2 linked regions of the Oryctolagus cuniculus genome follow. The protein of the gene in region 1 purifies or fractionates together with the protein of each later gene. This does not show direct contact. Links are inferred from orthologs where the notes say so. Each region holds a gene or a part of one and is shown in the gene's direction. Other genes may lie near its edges. The genes, in order: FNDC3A and TENT5C.

Region 1 (14,647 bases):
AATAAGATGGAAGCTCAGAAGTGTCTTAACTTTTAAAAACTTTATAGATAAAAGTAAGAGATAAGAAATAAAACTTAACCTTTAATTTACAAATTACTTCCCTGGGTTTTCCCATTAATATACATCATTATCCTTATCTAAAGACTATCTATGTCATTTTTACAATATAATTTAAAATGATAAGGGCAATTTATTATATCATTTGTGTATGGTATATTGTAAATATCTTATTGTATAAAGATATTTTCTCTATCTACCATGAATAGGTGGTTGATATATCTAGTAGTTTTAAGAATGTAAAGATTTACTAATTTTTACCTCTGAATTTGGGGAAGAGATTTCTGAAGTTTGGCAAATCACAATTGAAATTTAGGTTATCTGAATTTCCATGTCCTAACACCTATATTTTATTTCTACTTTTTCCAGATTAAGATTTCACTGTTTAAAAAAAAAGATTTTGTTGTTATCTCTGTAAATGATTGCTCTGGTTTTGAAATTTGCTTTTGTTGTGGGGGAGAAAATAAAAGCCAGGTAGTTTGGGAGATACTTTTTAAAACTCAAGTCATTTTCTACCTACTTATTCTTATTGATTCCTATCTCCTTCTTCTGTCATCTGGTTATGCTTGATAATGATCATAGATAGTGTGTTCAAACCCAGGGTGGCTATCAGAGTCTCCTAAAGCTGTACAAAACATCAAAGAGCTGTTGAAGTCCAAAAGACAGATATAGAGACTTTTTTTTCAACCTAGAAAAAATCCTTATAATCTGTGTATTATTGTATAGCCCCTTTAGATCAGGAAGCTATTCAATAAGACTGGCCAGTAACCAGATAAGTCTTTCCCCTTTTTGGAAGTAAGAACTGTCCTCCTAGCATTGCTTTGAAAGTATATCAGTAACATTAACAAATTTGGATTACTAAGATTATCATGTTTGTGACTAAGGAATTTCTTGGTTTTTCTCAACTAGTTTCTCTATAAAGAAGAACAATATAAAGGACTTGAGCCATAGATGGGCAGTTTTCTTGAACAACTGAGTGTACCCTAGTTAAACTGTACGTCACAAGGGGGAAAAACCTCATTTGCAAAAGTCGGCTGATGTTGGGGTGGGTTGCCCTAAGATGCTCAATGTATGGCCCATGGACTATACTCACCAAAATTTCTTGTAATGCTTGCAAAACAGATACCTGAATCAAATCTTGGAGTGAGGAAGAGGGCTTAAAGAAGTACCCCAGGTGCTTTTATTCATGCCAACATTTAAGAAGTACTTCTCTTGGATATTTGGTTTAGGCAATCACTTTAACAGACCTTCTCATTTTTGAGATTAAAGCTAAGGCCTCCATCGCTATTCTGGATAAAAGTTAGGAAAGGAAACAAAGAGACATCGCTTTGAGTAACAGTAAATTAACAAGTATTTGGCGATTGCCCCTGGTGGCTTTGAAAAGAAGTGCTGTTCAGGGGACCCAGAAATTCAGAAAAATGTGGAGAAGATTCTTGTTAGAGTGAAGGAACATGGAAAATTAGTGGCAGTATGAAGTCTAAGGAAAATGATAGCCAGAGAGAAATTTCCTGTGGTGTAACTGGCCAACATTCCATGTGTGAATACTTGGTTAATGTCTCTTGCTCCCTCTGTGAGGACAAAGACTATGTCTGTGTTGACTTGCATAGTGGCTACCATGTAGAAGGTACCCAATTACTATTTCTTGAACAATTCAAGATTGTTCCTATCTTGGGCCTTGTTTCCTTTGATTTTAGGGAAAGAGCTGTCCCATTCCTGGGAATACATAGTGAGTAATAGCATGGCAATAGGATCAGGAATTTAGAGCAAGTGTTGACCCTGGGCAAGTTTCTTCCCAAGTATCCTTGGAAATGTGGAGGAAGCTTCTGGAATTCCCAAACATCCTGAGGTCATAATTATCCAGGACATGCTAATCACATAGTATCATCTATTTGTTAATCATTAGGCCTATATCTGGCATTCTCACATATTATGTTATTTAGTTCTGTAAGGTGGGAATTTTATTCCTAGTTTAGATGAGGAACTGAGGTTCCAGAAAGGTCAGATAACATGGCTAAGATCAAGCAATTAGTAAAAGAGCTGGGATTCAAGCCCAGATTTACCTGATTCCAAAGGCAGTCTCTCCTCCCCTACATACCACACTCCTCCTCAGAGACAAACACATGCTTTTGGCTGCTTTACTTGGTGTACCTCCCTCCAGGTCAACTGCTTCTTCCTCTTCCAGACTTGCACCTAAAGAAAGGACAGCGGCAACAGAATTCTCTTTGTGTTCACAGTGAGGACCCCAGTGCTACTTGGATGATTCGAGCAACACAACTCCCCTACCTCAATCTACTGTCCCATCTCTCTCCTTTCATCAGCAAACTTTTCCCTCAAAACGTTCTACAAGACAAATCTCTACTTTCCATTTGACTTCTTCATCTGTCCTCTCTCTTCAACCCATATACTTTGTCAAGAGCTGTGCATAGGCCATTGTTGTCGTGCAGCAAGTTGGGCTGCTGCTTACAATGCGAGCATCACATAACAGGGCACTGGTTCCAGCTCCCTGCTGATGTGCCTGGGAAAGCAGCAGAGGACCGTCAGAGGATTGGGCCTCTACAGCCCACATGGGAGACTCGAATGGAGTTCTGGGCTCCTGGCCTGGCCTAGTCCTGGCTGATGTGGCTATTTCTGGAGTGAACCAGAGGATGGAGTTATCGCCTTCTCTTTGTGTCACTCTGCCTTTCAAATAAATAAATCAGTCTTGAAAACAAAATAAAACAACTGTGAATGGTCTGAGATTTTTATTGTCCTCCTCCTTGCCAGCTAACAACTTACTAATAACTTATGGATGGGTCAAAGAACTGTATTACTTTCAGCATAGCAGCTGGCAGCAGTGTCATGTTCACCCAGGTTTCATTTGGAGCAATGAGTGGTTCCACCTGCAGTAGATTCCTGTCACAGTTAAGAACCCTGAGCTTAAGAAACCCTCAGTCTTTTATAATGGGAGACAAGAAAACTTATTCTAGCCTTACCTCAGAAGTAGCATTCTCTTTATTATATTGGATGGTAAACAGATGTGCCCTCTGCTCTGGCGGGGGACATTAGGTCTATTTTCCAAGGCTGTTTGCCAAACAAAAATCCTTGAAGAGACAGTCTAGAACAAAAGCTATTAGTGCCTCTGTTCACAAGATGTACAGATATATAAAAACTAAGGAGAACTGTCTCTCAACACTTTCCCGCATCTCTTCCCAGTAATCATACAAAAAAAAAAAAAAAACACCACTTCTGAAAATGATCAGTTATCCAACAACCTTCTAGAATCCTGGAAGAGACCTCAAAGAATATCCCTGAATTGTTCAGTAGTAATTGGGCACCTTCTACGTGGTAGGCACTGTGCAAGTCAACACAGACATAGTCTTTGTCCTCACAGAGGCAGCAACAGTCATTAACCAAGTATTCATACATTCACACATGCCAAAATGTAATACAAACTGTGGAAAGTCATAAGAAGGAAAGGTAGATGATGGTAGGAAAGTTGACACCAGTAACAGGTCTTAAAATTGTCCTGAGAGGCTAGAAATGTTTTTCCCAAGGATGTCCCTTTCAAGCTGAAACCTGAAGCCCAAGTGAGATAGAAGACAGTTAAAAGGGGGAAGAAAGTATATATATAGAACCTGGGGCTGCTGGGGTCATAGGACATTAAAGAAACTCAAAGAAGCCTGGTAAGTCTTTTGCCCAGGAAGCATTGGGAGATGAGACTGGAAAAAGAGAGTGGGGCCAGACCTCACACGGTCTGAAAGACCACCTTAAGAACTCCAGTCTTGGCCGGTGCCGTGGCTCATTAGGCTAATCCTCCGCCTGCACCCCGGGTTCTAGTACCACTGGTTGGGGCGCCGGGTACTAGTCCCTGTTGCTCCTCTTCCAGGCTCTCTGCTGTGGCCCGGGAGGGCAGCGGAGGATGGCCCAAGTGCTTGGGTCCCTGCACCCACGTGGGAGACCGGGAAGAAGTACCCGGCTCCTGGCTTCGGATGGGCACAGCGCCAGCCGTAGCAGCCATTAGGGGAGTGAACCAATGGAAGGAAGACCTTTCTCTCTGTCTCTCTCTCTAACTCTGCCTGGCAAAAACAACAACAACAACAACAAAAAAAAAAAACTCCAGTCTTATCCTAGAGCAGTGGGAAGCTGTTTATGAGTTTTATGTAAATCATATTTGCTTTTTGAAATATCATTTTTGTTGCAACAAATGAAAGCAGGGCCCGAGATTGTGTACAGTGAGATCAAACTAGATCGGTAGTGATTGGAAAGAAGTGGGCCAAAGACATTTTAGAGTTAAAATTACCATGAGTTGGTGCTGCAACAGATGTGAGGAATGAAGGTGAAGGTGAAGGAGACTTCAAGGATGGCTGCCAGATGCTTGATTTGAACAACTGGGTAGATGAGGGAAATGAAAACAAAGAGTTCATGAACTCTATTGGACTAAATTTGGTAACTTTTGAGACATTATGTGGACATGTCAATGAAGCAGTAGGTATCAAATTTGGAGTGCAGGGGAACAATTTGTACAAGAGGGAAATACATGGAAATCATCATTAGAGATGATAAAATCATTGTGGTGGCTAATGTTGTTTAGTCCACGGGATTACAAAGAAACAGGAAAGAACTTAAATGTGAATTTTGAGTTCTTATGTTTAACAGCTAGAGAGAGATAAGCAAGAGCCTGCAGAGGAATTAGAGAAGCAGTGTCCAGAAAATGCAGCACCAAAGAGACTAGAAATGTTCAAGGACAAATAGTGCTCAAAGTATTGTAGTGATGGGAGTTGAAAATGGCCCTTATTTGATTGATAAGGAAAATGAAGCATTGTGTAGAGAAGTGATTTGATCAAAGCCAACATAACTTACTGTCCTTCTCTGTGTTCCCAGAGAACTTAGACTGGTGTACAAGCTAGGGTCAATTATGTGTATATTTAATTTTCTCCACAGGACATAAATTCCCCCAGTCTTTGCTTAACTGAACCTCATAGCCTACCATGTGGTTGACCACAGTGTCTAAGGCCATTTCAAAGACATCCTGCATTATGCCCAACTCCCCTTCAAAATCGCTGTTCTTGGGCAGGTTTTTAGCCTAGTGGTTAAGATGCCTACAATCCACACCAGAGTGTCTGGGTTCAATTCCCAGCTCCTGCTCTTGACTTTAGTTTCCTGCTAATACACACCTTGGGACGCAGCACTGATGGCTCAAGTTACTGGGTCCCTGACACTCATGTGGAAGACCTGGATGTAGTTCTTGGTTCCTGGTTTGGGCATGACCCAGTCCTGGCTGTTGAGAGAGTTTGGGGAGTGAACCGGCAATTAGGAGTGCTGGCTCTTGCTCGGTCGCTCTCTCTTCTCTCTCTCAGGAAAGAAAACAAACAAATAAAATAGCTGTTCTTCCTCACTCTGCCTATGCATGAATGCCCAGGGACATACATACTTCACTAAAACATTCTTTTTTTTTTTTTTTTTTTTTTTTTTTTTTTTTGACAGGCAGAGTGGATAGTGAGAGAGAGAGAGAGAGAAAGGTCTTCCTTTTTCCGTTGGTTCACTCTCCAATGGCCGCCGCGGCCAGCGCGCTGCGGCCGGCGCACCGCGCTGATCCGATGACAGGAGCCAGGAGCCAGGTGCTTTTCCTGGTCTCCCATGGGGTGCAGGGCCCAAGCACTTGGGCCATCCTCCACTGCACTCCCGGGCCACAGCAGAGAGCTGGCCTGGAAGAGGGGTAACCGGGACAGAATCCGGCGCCCTGACCGGGACTAGAACCTGGTGTGCCGGCGCCGCTAGGCGGAGGATTAGCCTAGTGAGCCGCGGCGCCGGCCCAAAAACATTGTTTTTAAAAATGCTATTTCTTGGCTTCCCTATGAACAAAGAAATCAGAATCCTAAGGGTGGATTATAGGATTCTGTATTTTTATAAAATTCCCAAGTAGGAAGTTTTGGGAATTACTAGCTTAGAGTTGAGTTTGGAAATTCCTAGCCTAGTCTCAGGCCAAAGAGAACTGGGCAGCCAAATGGAGAAGCCACGCAGCTAACCTACACTCTGATAAATCCTCATATTTTAAAACAACATACAATTACACTTCAGTTATTCTAAGATCTGCTTTCCAGCAATTTTGTCTGGAAGAAAGCCAAATTTGGAAGTTTAGGAAAACAAACATTTCTTGCAGGGCAGAAAATTTTGATGGTGAAGAGCTATGAAAATATCGCAAGATACCTTTAATACACAGTCACGCGCCTATTTCCTGACCCGAAGAAAAGGAACGTCTCACTAGCTGTCTACGGATAGAAATATCCCATCATTCATCACCTGGGGCCATAGCAAAAAAAAAAAAAAAAAAAAAAAAAAAAAAAAAAAAAAAGCAGAGAAAGGAGAAAAGAGTAAAAAAAAAATTAAACAGTAAAGTGGAAAGGTTGAGAGGAAAGATCAGAGTGGATAAAGAGGATGATGAGGAAATGACAGATATTAGAAGAGGCGATGAGAACATTCCCAAGGCCATGGGGGGAGGGTGCGGAGGAGCGGAAACCGCACCAAGTCAGGATTTTATAAACCTCAGCATTCCCCTGAGACGTCAGCGTGCGACAAAGGTATCGCTTTTGATAGCCGGCCACAAAGGATTTCATTAGGCATTGTATTCTTTAAGAAAGTAGAAACTACATACTTTCAGAGGTTTCTGTAAAACGGTGTAAAAACATGTTGCTAAAAAAAAAAAAAAAAAAAAAAAAAAAAAAAAAGGCCGCACGCTTAATGAACTGAAAGCCAGACCCGGAGCTGGGTTACCTCTGTCACCCTCACCGAACGGGTGGTTGCTGGGGTGGGACTCCCGTCCCCAGGACTCCCCCTCCCCAGGTCTTCCGGTGGAAACCGCCGGAGCAGGCAGCCTAGACCAGCCCGTGGGCACCGCCGCAGCGCCCCCAATTGCTTGAGGTTTAAGGAAATCTCTGCCGCGGTCCCTCGTAAGTCTTCAAGCTGTTGTGGAAATTAAGGTAATGGGTTTCCACGCGATGTGGCTGCCGCAGAGACCAAGAAACGACCCCACATGTTCTCAACGGAAGCCAATCTTTTAAATGTTTGTGCTTGCTATCGAGATCCCGGGCTCTGAAAGTCTGCGACTGGGAGCATCCAAGCCCTCTTCCGTTGGCTTCGCAGTCCTTGGAGGGGTTGGGGGAGTGTCTCCACAAGCACCTGCCGGCGTTAAATTCTGGTGCTTTCGGAAAGGGGCGGACAAGGTGCGTGTCGAGAGGGAGCCTTTTTAGAATGTGGGTTGAGTATTGAGCGAGCGGCCCTAGGAACGTCAATGAACTACACGTTTCCTGAGTGTGGCTCGGAGCCAGGCGCAGCCGGGCCTCGGGAGAGAGGGAGACGGAGCCGCGAGTCCGGGGCTAGGTGGGCGCTCCGGGAGCGGCGCGAGGGCGCTGGCACGCCACGCGCCGGGGCTCCGCGGGGACTCGCACCCCGGGGAGAGACCCGCGGCGGGCGCGGGGCGGGGGCGCGGGGTCCCCGCCGGCCCGGGGCGCCGTCGGCAGGGCTCGCGCAGCCGCACTCGGCGCGCCGACCCTGGGCTCCTCCTCCCGGCTCCGTAGTAAGCATGGCGGCGGCGGCGTTCGTGGTCCCTCGGGTGAAACAGAAAGCGGGAGCTACGCGGAGAGGCAGCGAAGAGCGAGGCTGAGGCAGCGCCGTCACTGCCGGGAAAACAACCCCAACAGTCGGCGCGCCGGCGGCCCCGAGAGCGGGCTCTGCCGCTGAGGTAGATCGCGATCGATCAGGAACCCGAAGAGGCGCCAGGGGAGCCGCCTTCCTCTGCCTCAGAACGGCGGCGTGACTCGGAGGTGAGAGCGCGGGCGGCACTCCCTCCGCGAAAGGCGGGCGACACTGAGCCGTCCCAGCCCCGTCCCGCCCCGGAGCTGGCGCCGCGGAAACCGTTAGGCTGTGGCTGAGGGCCGGGGCGCCCGGCGGGGCTCGGCCCCTTCTAGGGCGGCCCGGCCCATCCCACCCCGACCTGCGGGCTGAGGGGCACGGAGCCGGGGGCCGGACCCGTCTACTAGTCGGGCACCTGTCGGGGCCGCGCCTCGCCGGGGCGAGCCTGCGGGGGCGCGCGGCGGTGCGGGGGCGCGGGCGGCCCTCCCCCGGGGCCCCTGCCTCCCCCGCGGCGGGCAGCGCCGCTCCGGAGGGTGTGCGGGGCGGGTGCGGAGCCCTCTGGAGGGGATCGCCGGGCGCTAGCTGCGCCGCGGGGCTTGGGCCGCCCGGCAGCCGGCGACTTTTCTGAAGAGAGTTCCCCTCCCACCCCATTCCACCCCCGGCTCACCTTGGGGTTAAAACCTCGAAAACCCGCCCTTCTGTGTTTGATCTGTGTGGCTGCTGCCAGTACCCAGCCGTTCCTCTCCCCAGGTGAGTTAACCACCTGTGCAGTCGGGAGGTGGAAGCGAAGCTGCAGCCCTCGCCCTGTGTAACCACCTGGATCTTTGAACTTTTGACACGGCTTTGGGAGGACGTCATGTGTTAGGTAAAGGAAAATGGGCAGATATTTTCTTTATCAGTTGCGAGTAGAACAGTCGCTGTTTTAATGAGCGTAGTCGTTGATCGTCTCTCTTACTAAACTGTGGAGTTGAAAAGCCTTGGGCTATTTTAGGGGGTGTGTGTAATGATTGCTGGGGGTGCTAGGGGTCGTGAATTAGATATTTCTTTCGTTTTTTTGGGGGGGGGGGCTGAGATTTTATGTAAGTTCCTTCGAAAACCTTGATATGGGACCACCTGTTAGCTAAGAATAGCAGGTATAATCCTCGGTCTGTGTTCCCGATGGCTTTTAAAACAGCAGCCTAATATTTTGCATCTTACTGAGGTCTGTATTTTTAGTTCTTGAAACCAAAGTGTGTGTGTTTCTGTATTATAAAAATAACATAACAGTTGCACTCTTTCTATAGTATTTTATCACTGTGCTGTTACCAGTACCAAACATATGCCACTCAGGAGTTTGAGCCATATGTTAGGCAGAAACAAAATGAGTTTTGGGGCTGTAATCTTGTGTTTGGATAAATATTTAGTTTTTGTGTATTGGCTAAAACTGTAATTCTTGCCATCTTGTAAGTTTTGTTTAAATCGCCTAAAAATGTTCAAGAGAATTGAGTCCTCTGCCTGCTTGATATTTTCTTTGAATTAATTTTTTCTCAAGTGTTGAGATAGAGTGTCACTGAGACAGATGGTGGGCCTAACAGAAATAGTGATAAAAGGAGGATTTCTGACGTGTCTTTTATAAATTACAACCCCAAATTTTGCTTTTAGCATTTTAACCTGCTAATGATTCTTGCTTTCACCAATAATATCACTGATTAGTGGGAAAAAGAGATGGTGACATGACAGGAAAAATCTTGTTAATGTTTTATTAGATTTTATATTTAGAATTTTGAATACTATCATTAAATTTTACTGTGTTTCACTTCATGGATCATCTCTTAGTTTTCCATGTGTAGGTTAACTAGAAAATGGTTTTATTCTGGGCTGGCCACCTTTAGCCACCTGTATGCTTCTGAATTCCCTCTTCTCCCTTTTTGTCTAAATCCTGCAAATCATTGAATACTCAGGAAAAATAAACTCCTGATTACCCCTGGCCTCAGTCAAGCATAATTATAAGGGTAATTTGCTTCTCCCAAATTAATGATATGCATTTGAACAAACAGATTTCTTTGGTGCCATCTGTGTTGTCACTTCCTCTCTTCATGTGAGTAATTAAGAGCAGATCTATTTTATTTTGCCATGCATTTTAAGGATAATTTTTTGTCAGATGCCTATGATATGATATTGAACTTATTTTTTTTTTGCTAATTAAGAAAAAAATTTCCATCATCCCTAACCAGACATAGGTAAGGGCTGAGAGATTATGTTAAAAACCAAGGGAAAAAAAGGAATGTGTGATTAATATTCGTACCATCTTTTGTGACTTTCCTTAGGCAAAGAGCATTTAATTTATAATCTATCCATTTTAAATTTAGGCTTATGAGTATTATTTATTCTTGTTTAAGAACATTTATGTTTGCTTATGTTCATAATTCAAAACTTGTGCCCCTTATATTTTACCTGTATTTTAAATACAGTGTGATAAACTAACCAAATGATTTTTAAAAAAATTCTTGGTTCATTTTCCCAAGAAAACAGTCTAGATAGAGCCTTTGAGAGTGATGTAAAGATGTGCATGTAAGTGCCAGTGTTATTAGCCAGGTAAGCAAAAGATAAGGATTGCTATTTATTTTCTTTCTTTCTGTCTTTTCTTTCTTTTTTTCCTCCTTCTTTAGCACTCTGTAGCAGACTTCAAATAAATTCACAATATGATAAATGCAGAGATTTAGAATACTGTGCATATCTACTGCGTTGAACTTTATCACATTACAAAACAAGAAATATGGCCCCTGTGTGTGTCAGTGTCAAGAGCTGCTTGTCTAAGGGAAATTAATGGCCAGTAGTATTGCAAGGCAGATTTTACTCTTTTACATATATTGTGAGCTTTTATAATTTTCTTAATATTTCTGTTAATTTCATTTCAGAGTGTTAGTCGGTTGTCTCTCTCTCTCTCTCTCTCTCTCTTTGGAAGATTTATTTATATTTGAAAGGCTGAGTTACAAAGAGAGAGGGAGGGATAGAGAGCTTCTCTCCACTGGCTCACTCCCCAAATGGCTGCAACATTGGAACTCCATCCAGGTCTCCCATGTGGGTGCAGGGGCCCAAGGACTTGGGTCATCTTCCGCTGCTTTCTCAGGTGCATTAGCAAGGAGCTGGATATGAAGTGGAGCAGCGCAGGCCCAGTGATATCTTTTTAATCTCTTGATTCTTACCTTTCAATCCTCCCACTATTTTGTTTTTCTTGTCTTCAATCTGTGCTATCCTTTTTAAGTTTACAGTGAAGTCGATGGTTTTCCATCAGTTTCCTTTATGGTGTCATCTTGATATATTTTCCATCACTTGTCACAGATTACCAGTCCTGAGGCTACTTTTTTCTCCAAGATAGAGAAGTGCACTTGGGAGGTGGCATCTGCTCAGAGGATGATGAGACATTACAGTGGAGATAAAAAAGCAGTATAATGGGTTCTCTCCTCCAAGTACTTTATAAAGTAGTTGGGGATACTAGACTAACAAAGTAGCAAACAAGATAAGATGGTTTTATTAAAGTTTGTGCTGCCATCTTTAATGGGAAGTGCAGTCAGAGAGGGCTAGAAGAATCTTAAGAGGCATTTTGAGGAAGTCAGACTTCAAACTTAGGAAAGATTTATGTGGCAAATGGAAAATTGTTCCCTAAGAGATTGACAGGCTGAGTTGGAAGTAGTAGAGTATCCAAGGACAAGTATTACAAGGAAGAAAAAAATTAAGTTAGGTAGAGGTTTTAGGTAAGCTGTGGGACTGGATCAGAAGAGGAATAGGCAAGGCTAGACAAGACAGCTTGGCTGTGTCATTAGGAACTCATCACTGAAAAAAACTACATCTACTTTGACATATTAATAGCTTAAGTTCTGTGTATACTGGATAGCTCACACATACTAGCTTAGGTAGCTTAAATTAGGGGTTGACAAATTTTTTTTCTGTCGAGTATTAGATGATAAATATTTTAGGCCTTGTGGGCCATTTACAGTCTCTGTTGAATATTTGTGTTTGTTTATTGTCTTTTAAAAATATAAAAACCATTCTTAGCTCAAGGACCAAACAGAAACAAGCTGTCTGTGGGCTAGATTTGGCCTGGGGCTCAGTTTATTGACTCCTGGCTAATAATTGGCTAGGTAATAGTCCTTATATACATATTGTTGAAGCTTCCTCTATTATTTGGTTTGTATGGTTGTTTGGTGGCTATTACTGTGTGTTTTCCTTATGTTATACTAAATATAAAGAAAATATGCTAAAATAAGTACTAGTCTTATTATTTTGTGACCAAACTTCTAGCAAGAGTCTAGAATAGATTTTAGAACTAGGAAGTGAAGGCCGGCGCCGCGGCTCACTAGGCTAATCCTCCGCCTAGCGGCGCCGGCACACCGGGTTCTAGTCCCGGTCGGGGCGCCGGATTCTGTCCCGGTTGCCCCTCTTCCAGGCCAGCCCTCTGCTGTGGCCAGGGAGTGCAGTGGAGGATGGCCCAGGTGCTTGGGCCCTGCACCCCATGGGAGACCAGGAAAAGCACCTGGCTCCTGGCTCCTGCCATCGGATCAGCGCGGTGCGCCGGCCGCAGCGCGCCAGCCGCGGCAGCCATTGGAGGGTGAACCAACGGCAAAAGGAAGACCTTTCTCTCTGTCTCTCTCTCTCTCACTGTCCACTCTGCCTGTCAAAAACAAAAACAAAAACAAAAAACAAAAAAAAAAAAAAAAAAAAAGAACTAGGAAGTGAAAGAAGAAAAGCCTTTGAGTCAGGCCTTATGGCAGTGAAAATAGCCACAGTGGTTTGATGCAGAATTTGTATAAGATTAAGTATATTAACTGCCTGTGTTAGTTTTACATTTTTTAGAATGACAGCTATAATTTCAGAAGCTATGACTTTGGGTGCTGTTAGTCTGTGAATAAGAGCAAAGGAGCAGGAAGTAGGGAACTTTGTTTTTGAAAGTAGTTTAGGATGATTTAGAGAAGGGGCAGTTGGATAACATCCTACAGTAACTCTGGGAAGAGTCACTATGTTAATGGAACAGCCTGATAATTGATGTTTATATTGATGGGTTTGAGGCATCAGAGTCATATTATCAAAATGCAAATTTGTACATCAAAGTATAGATGAAGGCAAGGAAGGAAAACCTAGAAATTTCAAACATTTCCACTAAGATCAGTGTAAGATAAAATATGGCAATTTAAAGAATAAATGTTATTTTGAAAATTCATTTATATGAAATATCACTTCTAAGTTTGTAAATTTATAGATGTGTAAGTCTAAGGTAGTTCTATTTCCTTCATACACTGCTTCATGTACCACTACCAGGTGAATTGCAGTGCTTCAGGTATGGCTGCATGAATCAGTTGGCCAGGGTTATACTATATTTTGTGGTATCAAGGGAGCAAGAATACAACATAAGAGCATTCTTTTATTCAGTGGACATTGCTAAATACATTCTGTATAACAGGGTAAATATTGGGAACCGGATAAAGTAAAGATGTATAAGATGGGGAGCTGTTTGGATAGAATCAGTGGTGTTTCTTTTCTCCCCTTAAAAACATTAAAACCAACCAAACAAGCAAAACCACAAAACCTAAGCTAACTTTTGTAGTTTTACTTATTACTAGTATTTTCCATGTTTTGTAACTGTATAGATAATGCAGACTTTTTAAACTGAATTTTAGCCTTAATAAACTGCTACTTAATAAAATTTTTTAAGCTTTGTGCTTTAGAATAGTTTTAAATGTACAAAAGTTGTGAAGTAGTACAAAGAGTTCCCATTTACCCCAAAAAACAGCTTCCCCTAGTATTAATGTCTTAAATTAGTATATATTTGTCACAATCTGTAAACTTAATAAAATATTTGACTTTTTAAATTTTGCTTTAAGGGGAAATAAACACTTCATGCTTCCCCTTCTCCTTTTGTCAAGCTTGAAACATCCTCACCATTCCAGCTATTTCTATTTCCTAAATAGGAGATAAAGTACCTTGGATAGTGACTCAAAAGCTCGATCTTAGTTCGAACTTTGCCACTTTTTGATGATTATTTCAGGTTAATTTTTTTTCATTCTTGGTTTTCAAGTTGTTAAAATAGAGAATAATATCTGTTTTCCTAGAATGTACTGTAAGGACCCAAAGAGATGTTGAAAATGATGAAGACAATTAAAGTACCATATTAAGTGCTTACATGTGACAATACTAATATGTAAGGGAAAAGTTCTGTAAACATGGTATATTTCCTGTAAACGTTTAGTTTACTCATGTTTTAACTGCTTTCTTGGCAAAGAGGATGTATATAAACACTTTCCATGATCTTTCAGCATCATGCTTATCCAATGCCTTGTCCCTTTTTGCAAGAGAATTCTGATCTTATATTCTAGACAACTTCAGCTATTGTTTCCAAAGCAGGGTAAAAATAGGCAAACTGAATTCCTAATGGTTCTTTTTTTATTTTTTTTCCAAGTAAAGACTATTTCTGTATCTAAAGTAAAAAAAATCCACTTGTTGAAATTTCATTGGATTTTAGGCCCTATACTTGGTTATTTTTAAAATCCTCCATAAGCCTGCCACATATGTGGTATTACTCCCATTTACAGAGGAAACTATACTTGTAATTGACTTCCATATCTCTCTCCCTCACTTATGATCTCCTGTATCTGGTTGTTAAAAATACAGAGTACTGTATACTTTTGAAATGAACATTGATATGAGAGTTACCTAAATCTGATAAATTAGATATTGTGTTAGTCAAATTTCTCAGAAATGTTGAAAGGAATCATTTTGTCTTCTTCAGAATACACATTTTAATATGTGTTTGAACAGAATTTTTTAAATTACATGATTTTTTCATTACCTCCTTCCCTAGTGAATAGTTACTTTATTAGTAACCTTCAGTAACCTACAGCCACATAATTTTGGTGGGGAAAAGAAAATCCTCCTACTTAGGGGATTCTAGACAGATGTTTAAGTACATTTTAAGTTAAGACTTTTCCTTCTTTCATTTTTTTTTTTT
Region 2 (14,808 bases), on another chromosome or scaffold:
GCATCTGAGTTTTGGGTGCAAATCCTGCTTCCTTTGGCCCCTCTTCCCTAAGACTCAGTGATCAGAGGAAGTGGAGGAGAGAGACCAGAGGGTAAGAACTGGGTGGCAGAGAGAGGCAGGCAGGGTAGGCCCAAAGCAACCTTGCCATCACCCAAGAGGAAACCCACAAGTAGGACACTAAACCTCGCCCGGGCGATTAGTGCTCCGGAAACCACGGGGACCCGGTGGCGGCTTTGATTGATGCCGTATTCTTTTCCATTTCTTCTCTGATTACATTGATCCTGTACTTTTGCTGATGTTGTGACAGTCTAATTATAGACTTCTCGGCTGCTGAGCAAACAGTCGTCCCCTCTCGGTAAATCCGCCTGTTACACAAGCGCCAGCTCTGGGACACTGTCATTATGTGCAGTCAACCCCATGATGCACCCTGGGCAGCACAGCCCCACACCCTTTAGCTCCTTGACATTCACTGCTGGGGCTGGAGGCATCCAGGCAAGCACAGCTGGGTCATTTTCATTCACGGGGACTGCTGGGGGCGGGGGGAACCGAAGCCCGATGCTGCAAGGTGACTGATAGACCACACAGCTAGGAATGGAATCTGAGATTTGAGGAAGGGGTGGTTATCCAAGGCCTCTTCCTTTTTCTTCTTTGCCTTTTTCCATCAAACATCCACTGAGTGCTTATTCCAAGAATTCTGAAGAGGAAGAGCGTCACCTGGCCAAGAGCAAAGGGTATTGGCAGGGTGGGGCCAGCTGGCCGGCCTCCATTCTAGAAGCTTCTCAAGAATCCATTTTCCTGGCCCTCACACTTGTGGGTTTCAGGGCCTTGTGTGCATCTATCTGTGGCCCAGGGCTGGCTGGATCAAAGGATGCTGATTCATTCAAGCGGGGCTCACAAAGACTGACGGATGCGGTGGGGAGGGCGACGTGCATGGTCTGGCCAGCCGGCATCCAACCCTCCTTCCTGTTTGGAGACTTCTCTGCCTGAAGAGGCTGAACCCACTCCCCAGGGTTGAAACGGAAAACGGCTCATGAGTCACTGCTCCATCCTCTTGGGTTCTGTTGTCAGAGGCACCCGCCCACCCTGCTGGTTGGTGGGAAGCAGCAGGGACTGGAGACACAAGGCTTCTGATGATCTAGAGGTGGCAGCGGTGGGGGCTGGGACGGCTCTATCCCGATGCAGCAGCGGCAACACCAGATGCCTGTGTCAATGATGACGTCACGGTGTCTTCCCAGACCAGTTGTGTAGCTGGAGTTTTAGGACTTGTTCCTGGAAGCAGAGCCAACTGGTCATGTTCTCCAGCTATCCTGCTGAGTTTGTGGGCTCCTCGACATAGCTTTTTAAATTCCAGCTTGCTGAAATCAGCCAGAACCATATTTGATGGCTTTGCAACTAAGAATCCAGTCTCCTACAAGGCCTGGGCAATACGTGAACTGAGAGCTACACCTGCTTGGTGATTTAGGTGCTACCGGCAGTTAGGCAGGCTACATAGCAATGGCAGGAGGCTCTGCCCTAACTGGAAAGGGCTCCAGCATTGGGAGTTTCAGGGCTTGGGGCAGGCTGACAGTGAGACGGCCTGGATCTCGGAATAATGCAAGTTCAGAGTGGACTCCATGGTTACTCGTGAGATATGGTATGATCGGTTAGCAGTTCACACTTCCATGGAATCCCTTTCACCAGGAGGGAGATTTGAAAAACGTTACTCCTCAGATAAGAACTCTGGGGCCCTAGGAGAGAAGGCAAGCACTGTGTGATGTTGACAATTGACCCTCCTCTGCTCTCATCCACCTTGCTTGCCAAGCTGTCCCCACAGCGCAGTGAGAGAAGGGAACAAGGCGGGCAAAGAGATGCATCTTGTGAACGGGGCCACTGCTTTCGCCTGCATCCCTGACTTTACTCGATGAGCGCACACCTCCACCAAGCAGCAGGCTCCTGGCCATTGTCTTTCCCCTTTGTGCAGGAGGAAGCTGAGACTCAGAGAGGTTAAGCTCTGTGTCCGAGGTTGCACTGTGGCTGAGACAGGGATCCAAGCAGTCAGACTCACCCCCTTTCTCCACAGCCACACCATCAGGGTGGGTGGGCAGCGATTAAGTCCACATGGTTTACCTTTGACTTCTTCTTTTCTCTGACAGTGTCACCCATGCCCCCTCCTCCTTCCTGGAGCCCTGTCTTATTCCCTTCATAGGGTCTTTGCATGACTGCCAGGCTGCCAGAGCTGTGCCCATAGATGCGATCCACCTCCCCCTTTTTTCTTTCCCACCAAATCCAACCAGTCCTGCCTCCCATTCATTCTGGGACTTAACTCCAAATAAGACTAATGTCTTCTGGGGCTGGTGCTGTGGTGTAGCGGGTAAAGCTATTGCCTGCAGTACTGGCATCCAGTATGGGTGCAGGTTCGAGTCCCAGCTGCTCCACTTCTGATCTAGCTCTCTGCTACGGCCTGGGAAAGCAGTAGAAGATGGCAAAGTCCTTTGGCCCTTGGACCTCTGTGGGAGACCGGGAAGAAGCTGCTGGCTCCTGGCTTCAGATCGGTGCAGCTCCGACCATTGTGGCCAACTGGGGAGTGAACCAGCAGACGGAAGACCTCTCTCTCTGCTTCTCCTTCTCTCTCTGTAAATCTTTCAAATAAAATAAATAAGTCTTTAAAAAAAAATAGGCTAATGTTTTCTTTCTCTGAATCTCATTCTCTTTCTGAAACACCCAAGAATACTGCTTGAGGAAGTCCGAGAAGAGATGGGCATTTCCTGGAGAGAGTGCTGGTGGGAATTAGAAAGCCAAGTCATGTCTTGGCCCCACCAGAGCACAGACAGTGCCTCTGTGGTGGTTTTAAAATCTGCCAGGGAAGGCTTTGATGCTACTTTGTTTGTGATTGAGTGCCGGTAACATAGGTTTGTTCAGTTTGTGAACACTCACTGAGCTGTGTTCTATACACTGTGCCCTTATCTGCATACACTGATAAAAAAACTTAAGAATTGGTTTAAAGAAGATGTTTAGAGAAGGGTATTTGAATAAACATCTACAGTGGTGATTCACCTTGAGATACAGTAGTACAAACACTCAGGACTTAAGAAACTGATAAATCAGGCCACAGCTAGGCGCTGTACAAAACTTCTTTCTTGAAACAACAAAGTTTTTCAGGGCCACTGCTACAAGTGAGGCATGCTTGCATCTTAAAGACCTTAATGCTTTTCTCTCACTCAGCTTTCCCAGGTGCAAATCAGTGAACCACCGGGAATGTAGAGGTTTTTAAACCACGTTGACTGCAAGTGCTTCAGCAGGGTCCGGAATTTGGCAAGGAGGCACAGTATATTGGACAGTTTCAATATCTGGTTCCCTGTCCTGTCCGATAGGCAGGACGTGGGTACTTTCTAATACTCCTTCCAGCTCCAGGATGCCATGGTTTTATGAGGTAGAAAGAACAGACTGTATTAAAAAAAAAAAAAAAAAAAAAAAAAAAAAAAAAGCAAAAGCACACAGTTGAAACCAAAATCTAAAAACAAGTCAAATAATGAATATCCCAAGGAAAAAAATTATGCCTGTGTATGAATAATGAATTTCTTTTTGGCGCTAGGTTCTCCCGATCTCTCCACCATATAATTGCCTAATTTTGTTCAGAAAGTTGAACAATTTCAGCCAAGCAAAGGTGCTAGGTCAAATTCTAGGCTAAGACTTTTTGCCCTGTGTTCTACCTTGAGGCCACCTGTGCTAACTGTATCCACGAGGCACTGAAACAGTTGAAATGGCCAAAGCCAATGCAATAATCTGTATTAATTTTTTTATGATTGGAGATAATTTATGGAAGGATGGCTAAGTTACTGACCCAAGGCCTTATAGATAGAAAAAGTGAAAGCAATGAAGAAAACAAAGGAGATTTTCTTTTTGGCCTTAGGATAGGCAGAGACTTAAGCAGGACATAAAAATACTAGTCATAAAAATAAGATTCATAAATTTTAAAATTAAGAATTTATGTTGTGGGCTGGCACTGCAGCAATTGTGAGTTAAGCCTCCACCTGTGGTGCCAGCATCCCATATGGGCCCCGGTTCAAGTCCCAGCTGCTCTACTTCCAATCCAGTTCCCTGCTATTGTGCCTGGAAAAGCAGTAGAAGATGGCCCAAGTGCTTGGTCCCCTGCACCCACACAGGAGACCCAGAAGAAGCTCCTGGCTCCTGGCTTCGGACTGGCCCAGTTCCAGTCATCAAGGCCATTTGGGGAATGAACCAGAGGATGCAAGATCTCTCTCTCTCCCTAACTGCCTCTGCTTCACCCTCTCTGTAACTCTGCCTTTCAAATAAAAATAAATAAAATTTAAAAAAGAATTTATGTTTATCAATGATAACATTAAAATAAGAAGCACGTCATAGGTTGATTGAAGATATTTGTAATACATAATGCCCTGGACAAAGGACCCGTATTGAGAATATACAGAGTTCTTACACATCAATGAGACAGACACCTCCCCCAAAATGGGCAAAAGCCTTGAACAGAGACCTCATTCAACAGGTGCCAGAATGGCAAGACGCATCTAAAACGTTGTTCACCATCATCGATCATCAGAGAAATGCAAATTTACATCAGAATGAAATACACACCCCTCCTCCCTTCTCGTAAACTCGAAAGACTGACAGTACAAATACTGGCAAAGATGTGGAGCTTCGAGAAATCTCACATCACTGGTTAGAACATAAATTGTTACACCACTTTAGAAAACTGTTTGGCAATATATCTAAAGCTTCACATGGCTTACTCCAGGAACCAGGAATTCCAGTCTGGGTGTATAACTGACATAAATGATTTTGCTATGTCGACCAAAAGACGTGTAAGAGTGTTCAGGCCGCTTCATTCCTGAAAAGTCAATATCTGATGCAACTCAAATGACCGAATATTTATAGAATGAAGTAATAAAGAGTAATGAAAAAGAACGAGCCACTGTTAGACACAAGAGTGAACCTCACGGTTTTGTATGTGGATCTGGGTGGCAGGTACGTGGCTGCACACGTGTGTAAAAAAATCATCATTCTGCACACTTCACGATTTGTGCACTTTACTTAATGCTATTCCTCAAAAACGGTGAAAAAATACCAGACCATACATCCTCATTTTGGGACCAACAATAGGGCCACTGTGGCTTTTCTTACAAGCACCTCAACCTGCGGTCCTATCCCATTACAGCTCCTGGGGACTCCCAGGAAGACACTGATCTGAGAACTCAGCCTGCTGTCAGCGGCTGAGAACCATACGCATTTCAGGCAGGGACGGACATGGGGGGAGGTGAGGGCAAGGAGACACTGCAACTTTTCCTCCGCAGCTACTAGAGGATGAAAACCAGCTCAACGACTGTTTGTTGATGAATAACGGCTACCATTAGATATAAGCAGCATTCGCCACGGGGTCACCTTATACCAGACGCTGCACTGATCAACTTTTCCAAACCCAGGGAGCTCCGACTCAGCACTAGTCCGACCCTTCGAAGCCGTCCCAGGCTGGGTCCCAGCCTGCAGCCAGGAAGTGGAGGCTTGTGGAGAGTCCTTTAGGTTGCTCACCCAGGGCCTTAACGCTGGTGGTGAACGGAGATGCCAACCCCAGCGAGTCTGAATGCTGGCCCTGGGCTGGACGCCGCCCCCTGCGGGTGAATGGACGGCGTTCAGGCCCCGCCCGCACGTTATGTAACACACACGGCTGAGCCCCGAGGCGTTCCGGGTGCGGGGCTGGCCGCGGCTTCCCCAGGCCCTCAAGCCCAGTAACTGCCCACAGGTGGGCCCTGCAGCCTGCTCACCCACCGCGCCCCCGTGACCACGCCTCCACCCCCACCCCAGCCCCAGCCCCAGCCAAGCGGGGCTTGCGCAATCCCAAAGGTTCCCAGGGCCCTCAAGCCACACTTCTTCCAACTTCACGCACAGCGCCGGATGCAGGCATGGGCACCTCATGGTCCGCTGCTGGAGGAAGGGGGACCAGTGCGAAAAGCCCCGGAGAAACGTAAGAGAGGCAGGCTGCAAGGGACCGGACTGGAGGCGGGAGAAGCTTGTTGGGGGGGGGGGGTCGAGTTACCCTGCGAGGGGAAGGGCAGAAAGGAGAGAGCCGTCCCGGCAAACGCCGAAGTCAGGGGTGCAGACACAGCCCCTCTCTATTGCGCCTGCGCAAGGCTGCCGCGCCGCGCCCCGCCCCTCCCCGCCGCAGAAGATTTACTCGTCTCTCGGCAACCATTCACCCGAGCGGCCAATCAGAGGGCAGCGCCGGCCCCGCCCCCGCCGTCAGCGCGCCGGCCGACTCCTCCCGAGGGCCTGCGCCGGCCCCGCCCCGCCCCTGGCTCCCCCAGGAGGGCAGGCTTAGAGGCGGGGGCCCGGCGGCCGCGGCGGCGGGCGGGGGCGTGGCCAGGCCGTATAAGAACGGAGGGGGCGGCGGCTGGACGGCTCACTCGGTGCCGTTGCCTGGGGGCTGCAGTGACCGCGCCGCTCCTGCTGGGGGCTGCCCACGCCAAGGACCTGCCTCTGTCGCCGCCTCTTCCACCGCCCAGGTGAGTCCCCGACCCCCCTCCTCCAAAGGTGCGCGGGTGCCGCGGCGGCCGGGGCGAACCGCACGCTCGGCCCTCGGGGGTCCGCCCCTAGCGAGCGGTGCGCCCGTCCTGGTCGAGCCAGGTGCGGGGAGCGGGGACCGAAGTGGAGGCGCGGACAGGTGCCCCAGTCCTGGGCTGCCTTCGCCTCCTGCTCCCTCCACGATTCGGCCGCCCGCCCGGAGAGAGAAAGAAGGCTACAACTTTCCGGAGACTGCGGCCGGGGCTTGGCAAAGTGGAGCGAGTTCCTGCTCGGCGCGTCCCGCGGGGCAGGCGCAGGCAGGGAGGCCGGGAGTGCGCCGAGAGCGCCTCCGGGCCCGCTCCGGGCCCGCTCGGAGGCCCCACCGCACTGGCCTTGCTGGCGGTCTCGGGCTCGCCCCTACGCTCCCGCGGGCTCTGGCGGGCCGAGCGCGAATTCGAACGCGGCGGTTCCGCCGGGCGCACTTGGAGACGGAGCGGTCCGAGGCTTGCAAGTTGCGGGCAGGGGCGGGGCGCTGCCTGGGCGCAGAGCCAGGGTCTGGGCTGTACGGAGAGGGGCGGGACAGCCTTGACTGTCGGTGGACTCGCTGTCCGCCGTGGACACACCGAGGGCAGCCCAGGAGCCGAGCGAGGGGCTCGTGCGCGCGTGTCTCTCGGAAAGCGTCTGCGGGACCCGATTCTTACCCCTTTGGGAAACCAAACTTGCTTACCGCGTGGGCGGGAAGCCCCGACGGGTCTTGCGGACTTGGATAGCGGCGCAGCGGCTGGCCTCCAGGCGCGTGGGCCCCGCGTGGTGTCCCGGTCCCGGGCTCCTGGCGCTGAGATCTCGGGACGCGAAGGAGAGCGACGAACCTGCGGAGTCCAGGTGTCCGCCTTGAGGCCGCGAGCGCCAGCGAGGAGACCCGAGCGCGCCTCCTCGGAGTGAGCGAGGCTTCCTGGAGAAACGCGCCGGTCGTCCGTGGCGCCGGCTGTTGGGGCTGAGCCGGACCGAGAGGGACGGCTCCCCGTGTGCCCAGAGAGAGAAGCTTCTGCAGGCTCCGACCAGCTCTTTAAGTGCGGATCTGCTTTCAAAAAAAAAAAAAAAAAAAAAAAAAAAAGGCTTGTAGCTTGTATGACAAGAGTACGAGGAAGTGCTGGAAGCGCACTTGCAGCCCATTTCCATAAAGACTATGTGTGTAAGCATTTGTATTGTAACCACTTGGCATTCAGGATGGTGGGTAGGGGTTGGAGTCCTGAAGCACCCCAGGACGGAAAGCTCAGATTATTAAATGCTGGCTGTCCTCCTGGGAGGATGAGGGTGGCCATTGTTGGCTGCACCGACCTTTCAACGTGAGTAACTTGGCAAGGAAGCAAGCCAGGCAGGCAGGCAGCCAGGCACCGTGAGCTGGTGGAGGAGCTTACCAAGAACTGCCCCGTGTCTTCCAGCCCGACTTGGGACTTGGACCCCGCCCCGTAGACCCTGCAGTTGTGGGGGGGCAGGGTGGGGACTAAAATGCTGACTTTTCTGTTGCTGGCAGGGAGGCAGGCAGTCTGGGCTGGGGCAGTGGTGGTTCTGTCCTTTGACATTCTTGCTTTGCAAATGAAAAAAAAAAGCAAAACATGATCTCTGGGGTGAAGCTTCGTGTACTTCAGGTCCCTGAAACCTTGTCTGTTGGAGTATACACCTGCTCCTGTCTTAGCAGTTTTTGGAGAGAAGATTTTGGTATATTGTGTGTAATTATTCAGGGAGCTGCAGGAGGTGTCCCCAGAAGACCACAGTTAAAAAAAAAAAAAAAGTCTATCAGGAGGCATCTAAGTTACCAAAGGAAGGTCCCTAATTTCATAAGTCATTTGGTGTGTGCACACAGAACTAACAGCCATGCTCTTCCTAACGAGGAGTTTGTTCCACAATAGTAGCCTTGTATCCAGAGATTAAATTCATGCACCTCTGAAGGAAAGGGCCTGGCTGGGTTTTTGTTTGTTTACTTGTTTTGTGTGTGTGTTACAGAATGAATGTTATTGATTGAGCACCAGCTCTCCCTGCTTAGTTTCTCCAGCTGTCCTGCTACCACAGGAGTCACCTTATCCTGAGTCCCTGCCTCCCCCGCCCAGCCCTATCTCCCAACAGTGCACATATTTAGCCATCCTGCCCTGTGTTCAAGGTCAGGGCAGACCATGTACATCCTGCACAACCCATCAGAACAGAGAATTCCTCATGCTTCTGAAAGTCCAAGGAACAGCCTGGCAACAAAGATAATTTAAAAGTGCACCATCGTGCCCTTATTCTTACTATTCACTGGACACACTTGAGACACAATGAGAAAACTATTTTAATTTCTTTTCTTCCTGCTTCAGTAGGTAGTACCGGGGTCCTCCCTTTTCATCTTGGATGCGTTGTATTCACGGAGTCAGCCGGAGAAGGAGGACGACCCAGGAGTTCTGAATGGATGTGCTGAACCTTGTTCATCACTGCGGGAGGATGAGGCAGCCGAGGCCTAGTTCCCCGAGTTAAATTAAACTTGTGTTGTTGTGTTTGGGTTTCGTGGTGTTGCACCTGACTTGCAGTTGTATCGCTCGTGTGTGTGTGTGTGTGTGTGTGTGAGAGAGAGAGTGTTAGTTTTGTGGTTAACAAGGAGCCATACAGAGTCTAAAGTGTCACTTCGGAAAAACCGTGAGTGTGGCTAGATAAAGTCTGTTGCTTTGTTATGTTGTCACTGAAGTCAGCAGGGCAGCACAGAATAATGTCTTCTGCGGTCTTGGTGCTTTGGCTGTGGCACACTGAATTGTCATCAGTCGTATTACGATGAAGCAGGGCACCTTTGTAATTCAGAGAAATGTTCCCATCTGTAAAGCCACTTGGGCACATCAACAGTGCTGATAATCTTATGATATTTCCGGGACTGAAGAGTGCTCTAACTTTTCTTTTAACCCTTTCGTTGCCTGCATGATAAATAAGCTTGTGTTTGGAATGTATATGACTTGGAGGGAGAATTGTCATTACATAGCCCAACTCTGTATGGGAGCCTTGTGAATTGTTTCCAATGAATAGATCGTGTGCAGCTGGCCCCGTAGCCTGTTCTAAAACTGTTTGCGGAGCTTGGGGAGCTTCTTGGAACAACAGGAAAGAACCAATATGAAGAAATAACTGCTGCTGTTAAGCAACCCCCCGCGTGGGATGTTTTTCAGCCGCAGAGCCTTTGGAGGCTTGGTCACTCGAGTGTGCAGCGTTTCCTCTTGGGTCGCAGCGCTGGAGGCAGTAAGTGGTTAAGTGCTTCCTAGGCAGCGCTTTGTGCCAGGTGCAGTGGAGGCCAAGGCAATGGTATGTGAGGGCCTGCGGAAGCCTCCGCGGGCCGCTGTGCGAGAGAGGAGCTGGGTTGACTTCAATCCTGCCCTGGAGCTGCTCGGTTTGCCCTCGTTAGTGAGCTGCAGGTCAGGGGCAGTGGGGAAGTCCATGCTTGCTGAGAACCCCAGCCTGCCCGTGTCGTCGTGTGGATTGTGGGCGCGCCCCTGCCATTCCTTGTCGGAGTAGGAGGCGTGCTTTTGGTGGGCGTCTTCCTGGTGGGCCGAGGCATGGGAGGGAACCTTTTTGGACCCAAAGCCCCCAGCCTAAAGTGCAGGGCAGTTTCTGGGTCTTGGTTTTCTGGAGGCCTCAGGGGTATAGGTCTGGCGCCCAGGGCCGAGACCTGCTAATTGGCCAACAGCTGAGGCTCCTGAAGCCTCCCCGGGCTGTCCCGCCCCCAGCCGCCCAGGGCTCGCTCAGCCTTTCTGTCTCTCTCCACGTTCACTCAGTTGCTCGTTCTGCTGATGCTTTCTCTCTTTTATATTTGGTTTCCCACTGTCATCACTGACCTGGTTTAGGGGCCTGTGGACAGCTGCCTGCTGAGAGCACTGGCCCAGCACATCTCTCTGCCTCTGGCCAGTTCCACTGTCCCAGGCTCCCAGGACCCTCTGCAGCCACTCAAGGGGGCTGCCCTTCCTCATAACACAGAGCCTCCTTTCTCACTCTTGTCTTGACCTCCCTTGTCCCGTCTTGTGCCTGCCCTCCCTAGCTGCAGAGTACCCACTCCCCCTTCCTCCCCAGACGTGATGGGGGTCAGCTTTGGGCCCTTCGCACAGGCTTCTGAAGCCATGGCTCCTGTCCCCTTGCCTCTCCTCTGCAGTACTACTTCTGTACCGTTGTGCCTGGCACCTGATTTTCTGGTTTTTGTCTTCCATGAGATGAGCACAAAAAGTTCCTTACCTGTGTCTGTGTTGAGCACCTCCTCCATAAGAACTTATTGAGGAGAGAGTGACGCATGAACCCTGCCCTCTCCACTTGCTTAGCCCTTACAAGGATAGGAGAGAAGGCAACACTCCACCTAGCCCGGCTGCCTACCCCTCACCCACACACACTCTGTTGATCCCTGCCCTCTGCTTGCCAGAGTCCAAGATGAGCGTTTAGGTCTCCGGCAGCTGCCTGGTGCTGGGGGTGTTACATTATTCTGTCAATCACATGGAGTCACTTTTTGGAAGTGTGCTGATCCAAGGGTGGAGGTGAAAGGCGTTGCCAGCTGAGCACCTGCGCTGTGTCTGGCTGCTTGCCAGGGTTGCTCAGCTAGGAACTAGCTCTGGTTCCGTGTGCTGGGAACCTCACACCACGTAACGGCTGCTTCTCCCCTGCCCAGGCCCTTTGTAGTCTTTATTCCCCCACCTCGCTGCCTTGTCGGCTGGCTGCCTTCAGTTGTGGGGAGACCTGGGTTCTGGTCCTGGCGGAACTCTTGGCTCTTCAAGCTTCGCTGTCTTCATTGTAATAAGGGCAATCGCCTAGACCAATAGAAACAGGAGAAGCACAGTGAACCTTCCAGTAGTTGTGGAATTCATCTTACTGGGTCTGTTTACCATATCAAATACTGTGATTTGAATATAAAAATATAAATGAGCTATTTTCTATTTTTTCATACCAAGTCTTTGAAATCTAGTGTGTATTTTACACTTATTTGTTTTTTTTTTTTTTTAAGATTTATTTATTTGAAAGGCAGAGTTACAGAGAGAGAGAGAAAGAGAGGTGTCTTCCATCTGCTGGTTCACTCCCCAGATGGCTGTAACGACCGGAGTTGCACCGATCTGAAGCCAGGAGCTTCTTCTGGGTCTTCCATGTGGGTGCAGAGGGAGAAGGGCTTGGGCCATCTTTCACTGCTTTCCCAGGCCATAGCAGAGTGCTGGATTGGAAGTGGAGCAGCTGGGACTTGAACCGGTGCCCATATGGGATGCCAGCACTACAGGCAGTGGCTTTACCTGCTACGCCACAGCGCCAGCCCCTGCACTTATTTGAACCTGCTGCATTTCAAGGCTCATGGCTATCATATTGGCAGCCAAGGTCTAGATGGTATAAAAACATTTTAGTCTCAAATTCTGATTCCACATGTGTATGTGGAAGTCAAGAATTCCACAGCCCTGAGTCCTGGGAAGAGAGAATGAGCCGATGCAAGCCTTCCACGGGCAGGGATCTTTGTTTCTGACTTGCTGCTGTATCATGAGCTCCTAGAACAGTGCTCGGAATGGAGGCAGCACACAGATAGGTGAAAGACTGCCAGAAAGTTGGGCCACTGTTGCTGACTTACTGATACTCATCTGCCCTGTGAGTCAGACTGGACACCAAACTACAGCATGTTTGATTCCTGATCTGGTGCTTCTTCTGTTGCTTTGTTAGTTTTTTAAAGGATAGCTATAAGGAATGTAGCTTCAAAGGAGTGTGGGTAAAATTTTCTGAGACTGGCAGGGAACCTAGGACGCCAAACAGTTACATTTCATCAACGCTTAACATTTGAATGGAAATGCAAAAGGAAGTGACTTTCAAGTGACAGGTACTTAGGAGAGACCTAGTGACAGGAACACACTAATTGCTTGGTAAATGCTCATTTGCAGTCATCATCAGGAAGTGCACGCATGACCAGTGCCTCCACATGTTTGAACGCCAAAGACAAAGTGGTTTGACCACCTTGGGTATAGTTGGTGTGGAAATAGGTATCACCGCGTGGTTTGCTCCTTCCTGTTAACACCACCCACCCAAATTTCTATTAGCCTTATTTTAATGTTGTCCGCGGGACCTCTGAGCCCCTCAGCCCCTCGGGCCACTTCCATGCCGGAGAACCTGGAGGTCAGGACTGCTGCTGCTGCGTGATTGTTAACCCTCAAGCAAAACACAAACCCCGTGAAACTGCCTGCGGAAGTGGCGTCTGCACTGGAATTGAGGTCAGCTCACAATTGGGTGCTTGTGACTCGGGTGTGTCCATGTGTCAAACCGTGATAAATGCTGCCTTTGAGTAACCGAGGAGTTGTTTGTCCCTTTCCTGATAAGGCCCAGGGATGCTGCCGTGACTAGACAGGACTGTTAGCCAGCTGCAGTCTTACTTGGGGACAACTGGCCACCGTCTGAGGCTCTAAGCCTGAGAGTTAGATGGCCAGGTAGCCTGTGGATGAAACCTTTGAACTCTGCTGGCTCTTAGCTCTTAAACCCTGCGGCTCCAGCAATATCCCATTCTCCTCCCTCTCGTCTGTCTCTAAAACAGAAGGGCTGGCTCTGTTTGGGAAAGTCTTTAAGTAAGTTCAGACCAGTGGCATCGCTGATCTGGAGAGAAGCATTGGATTGGGGGCCAGGCTTTCCAGTGTGTGTGTCTCACACTGAAGGCTGAAATGTTGGGGAAGAAAATCGGCGCTTTATGCTCAGTGTCCACTGGAAGCTGTCTGGTTGCGATCATGTTGGTACGGGCATTTGCAGCCGCTCCAGGGTATTCTTTCAGCACTTGCACTTGCCTGCGGTAATAGCTGGCCAGTGTTTTGATTCTGGTTTGGGGCTGGTTTTGCAACCGCAGTGTTAGTTCTCCCAGCCTTATCTCTCCGCCCACACTTGCCCAGACATCCTATTTTGCAAGGTGGGAAAGAGCTTTCTGTTGGGAGTTGTCATCGTCATCAGGCGGGCAGGCGTGTGTGGCTAGAGCCCGGTCACTGATAACCATTCAGACTGCTCGTGGGCCTTAGTGGCAAGTGAGAGCTCGGGAATCCCCCTCCTGTGACCCTGAGAGCCTGGAGCACAGCGAGGGCCACCCCGCTCTGTTCTGTGGCTCACCTCGGTTTCCGTCCAGAACTCTGCCGTGGGAATCTAACCAAATTTTTTGAGTCTAGTCAACAGCAGTTGTTATGTGGCTGGGAGGCTGTTGACAACCCTGAGAAAAATCACTGATACCTCCAGCTGCATGTGACCAAGCTGAGCGTGAGAAAAGGCCATCTTGGGTGTGTGTGTGTGTGTGTGTGTGTGTGTGCGCGTGTGCCCTGACTTAGAGGTGGTTTACAACTCTGGCGTGGAAGGCAGAACTCTGTGAGTGGAGGCAGAACGTGTTGTGGGTATTTGAGTGGGCCAATGTAAAAATAACTTCTTGGGAGAAAACAAAATCATTTTGTCTGGTTCTGTTACCTTGGGCCGTCTACTAATCTAAGCTCTAACTTGGTGTACATGAAACACACGTGTGTGCCTCTGTTATCTGTAACTTTTGAATGTGTGGTGGGGTGAGGGGGAGGCGTGGAGGAGTCTCCAGAGTGTGGCCCTCTCCTTGTTGTTGGATCCCAGGCCTGGTGAGGACAAAAAGCTTCCTCAGGCTGCCCCCAGGTCCTAGATAACTTCTGGCCTTCACCCTCCAAGGCGTTCAAGGAGTGGAGGGAGGCTTTCTCTTGAGCAGGTCTAGTCTACATCGACCCTGGCTTTCCTGTGTCTGCTCCCTTATCTGCTGCCGCCTCTGTCAAGCAGTGGGGCCCGTGCCCATGGTCATTCACAGCGCCCGGCCCTTCTCTTGTGGCCGAAAGAGTCTTGAGGGTCAAACTCCATGCAGGTGGAGAAAGTAACAGGTGTTCAGTCTCCAGTTCAGCATTTGCAAGTCCAGCTGTCAGTCACAGGCCATTTCTGTTTTCTGTTTTGCTCCGGCTCTGCTTCCTGGGCTGGTCACCTGTGCAGGTGTCCCCACCGTCCCTCGGTATCTGCCGTCAGGTTATGGCTTCTCTGAGCCAAGAAGGTTGCCCTGCTCTCTGTAGAGCGTCCTGCGCTGTGGCTTTGTCAGCAGATCGACACTGCTGATCTCCCAGCCCAAGCCCAGCCAGGCAGCTGTCTTGGTTTTCCTGATTAGGATCAGCCCATTCCTAAACATCTTCCTCCTGTGCCGTCGCTGCTTTCCCGTAAGGCTTGCTCGGCTCGCTGACTCTCCCGGCTCCTTGCACTCCTGGGCGCTCTCCTTTCTAGACCTGCTGTCTCTGGAATCCCCGCAGCCAGGTGAGC

Evidence for each region.
Region 2: the proteins of FNDC3A (region 1) and TENT5C purify together in Homo sapiens (affinity purification with western blotting; 3 studies listed by BioGRID, with this or other methods). This does not show direct contact. The link is inferred for Oryctolagus cuniculus from reciprocal best matches to the Homo sapiens genes FNDC3A and TENT5C.

What each region holds. Positions count from the first base shown.
Region 1 is NC_091440.1:68,348,556-68,363,202, forward strand, and holds the start of FNDC3A (fibronectin type-III domain-containing protein 3A), read left to right. Parts: upstream 1-6,989; 5' UTR 6,990-7,030; coding exon of another isoform or gene 7,031-7,068; 5' UTR 7,069-7,094; coding exon 7,095-7,256; intron 7,257-7,577; exon of another isoform or gene 7,578-7,856; intron 7,857-8,276; exon of another isoform or gene 8,277-8,530; intron 8,531-14,647. Other genes in the region: uncharacterized protein, read right to left, coding at 2,118-2,247, 6,808-6,989, 7,031-7,068. UniProt on the Homo sapiens protein: Mediates spermatid-Sertoli adhesion during spermatogenesis.
Region 2 is NC_091438.1:52,805,666-52,820,473, reverse strand, and holds the start of TENT5C (terminal nucleotidyltransferase 5C), read left to right. Parts: upstream 1-6,254; 5' UTR 6,255-6,512; intron 6,513-14,808. UniProt on the Homo sapiens protein: Catalyzes the transfer of one adenosine molecule from an ATP to an mRNA poly(A) tail bearing a 3'-OH terminal group and enhances mRNA stability and gene expression.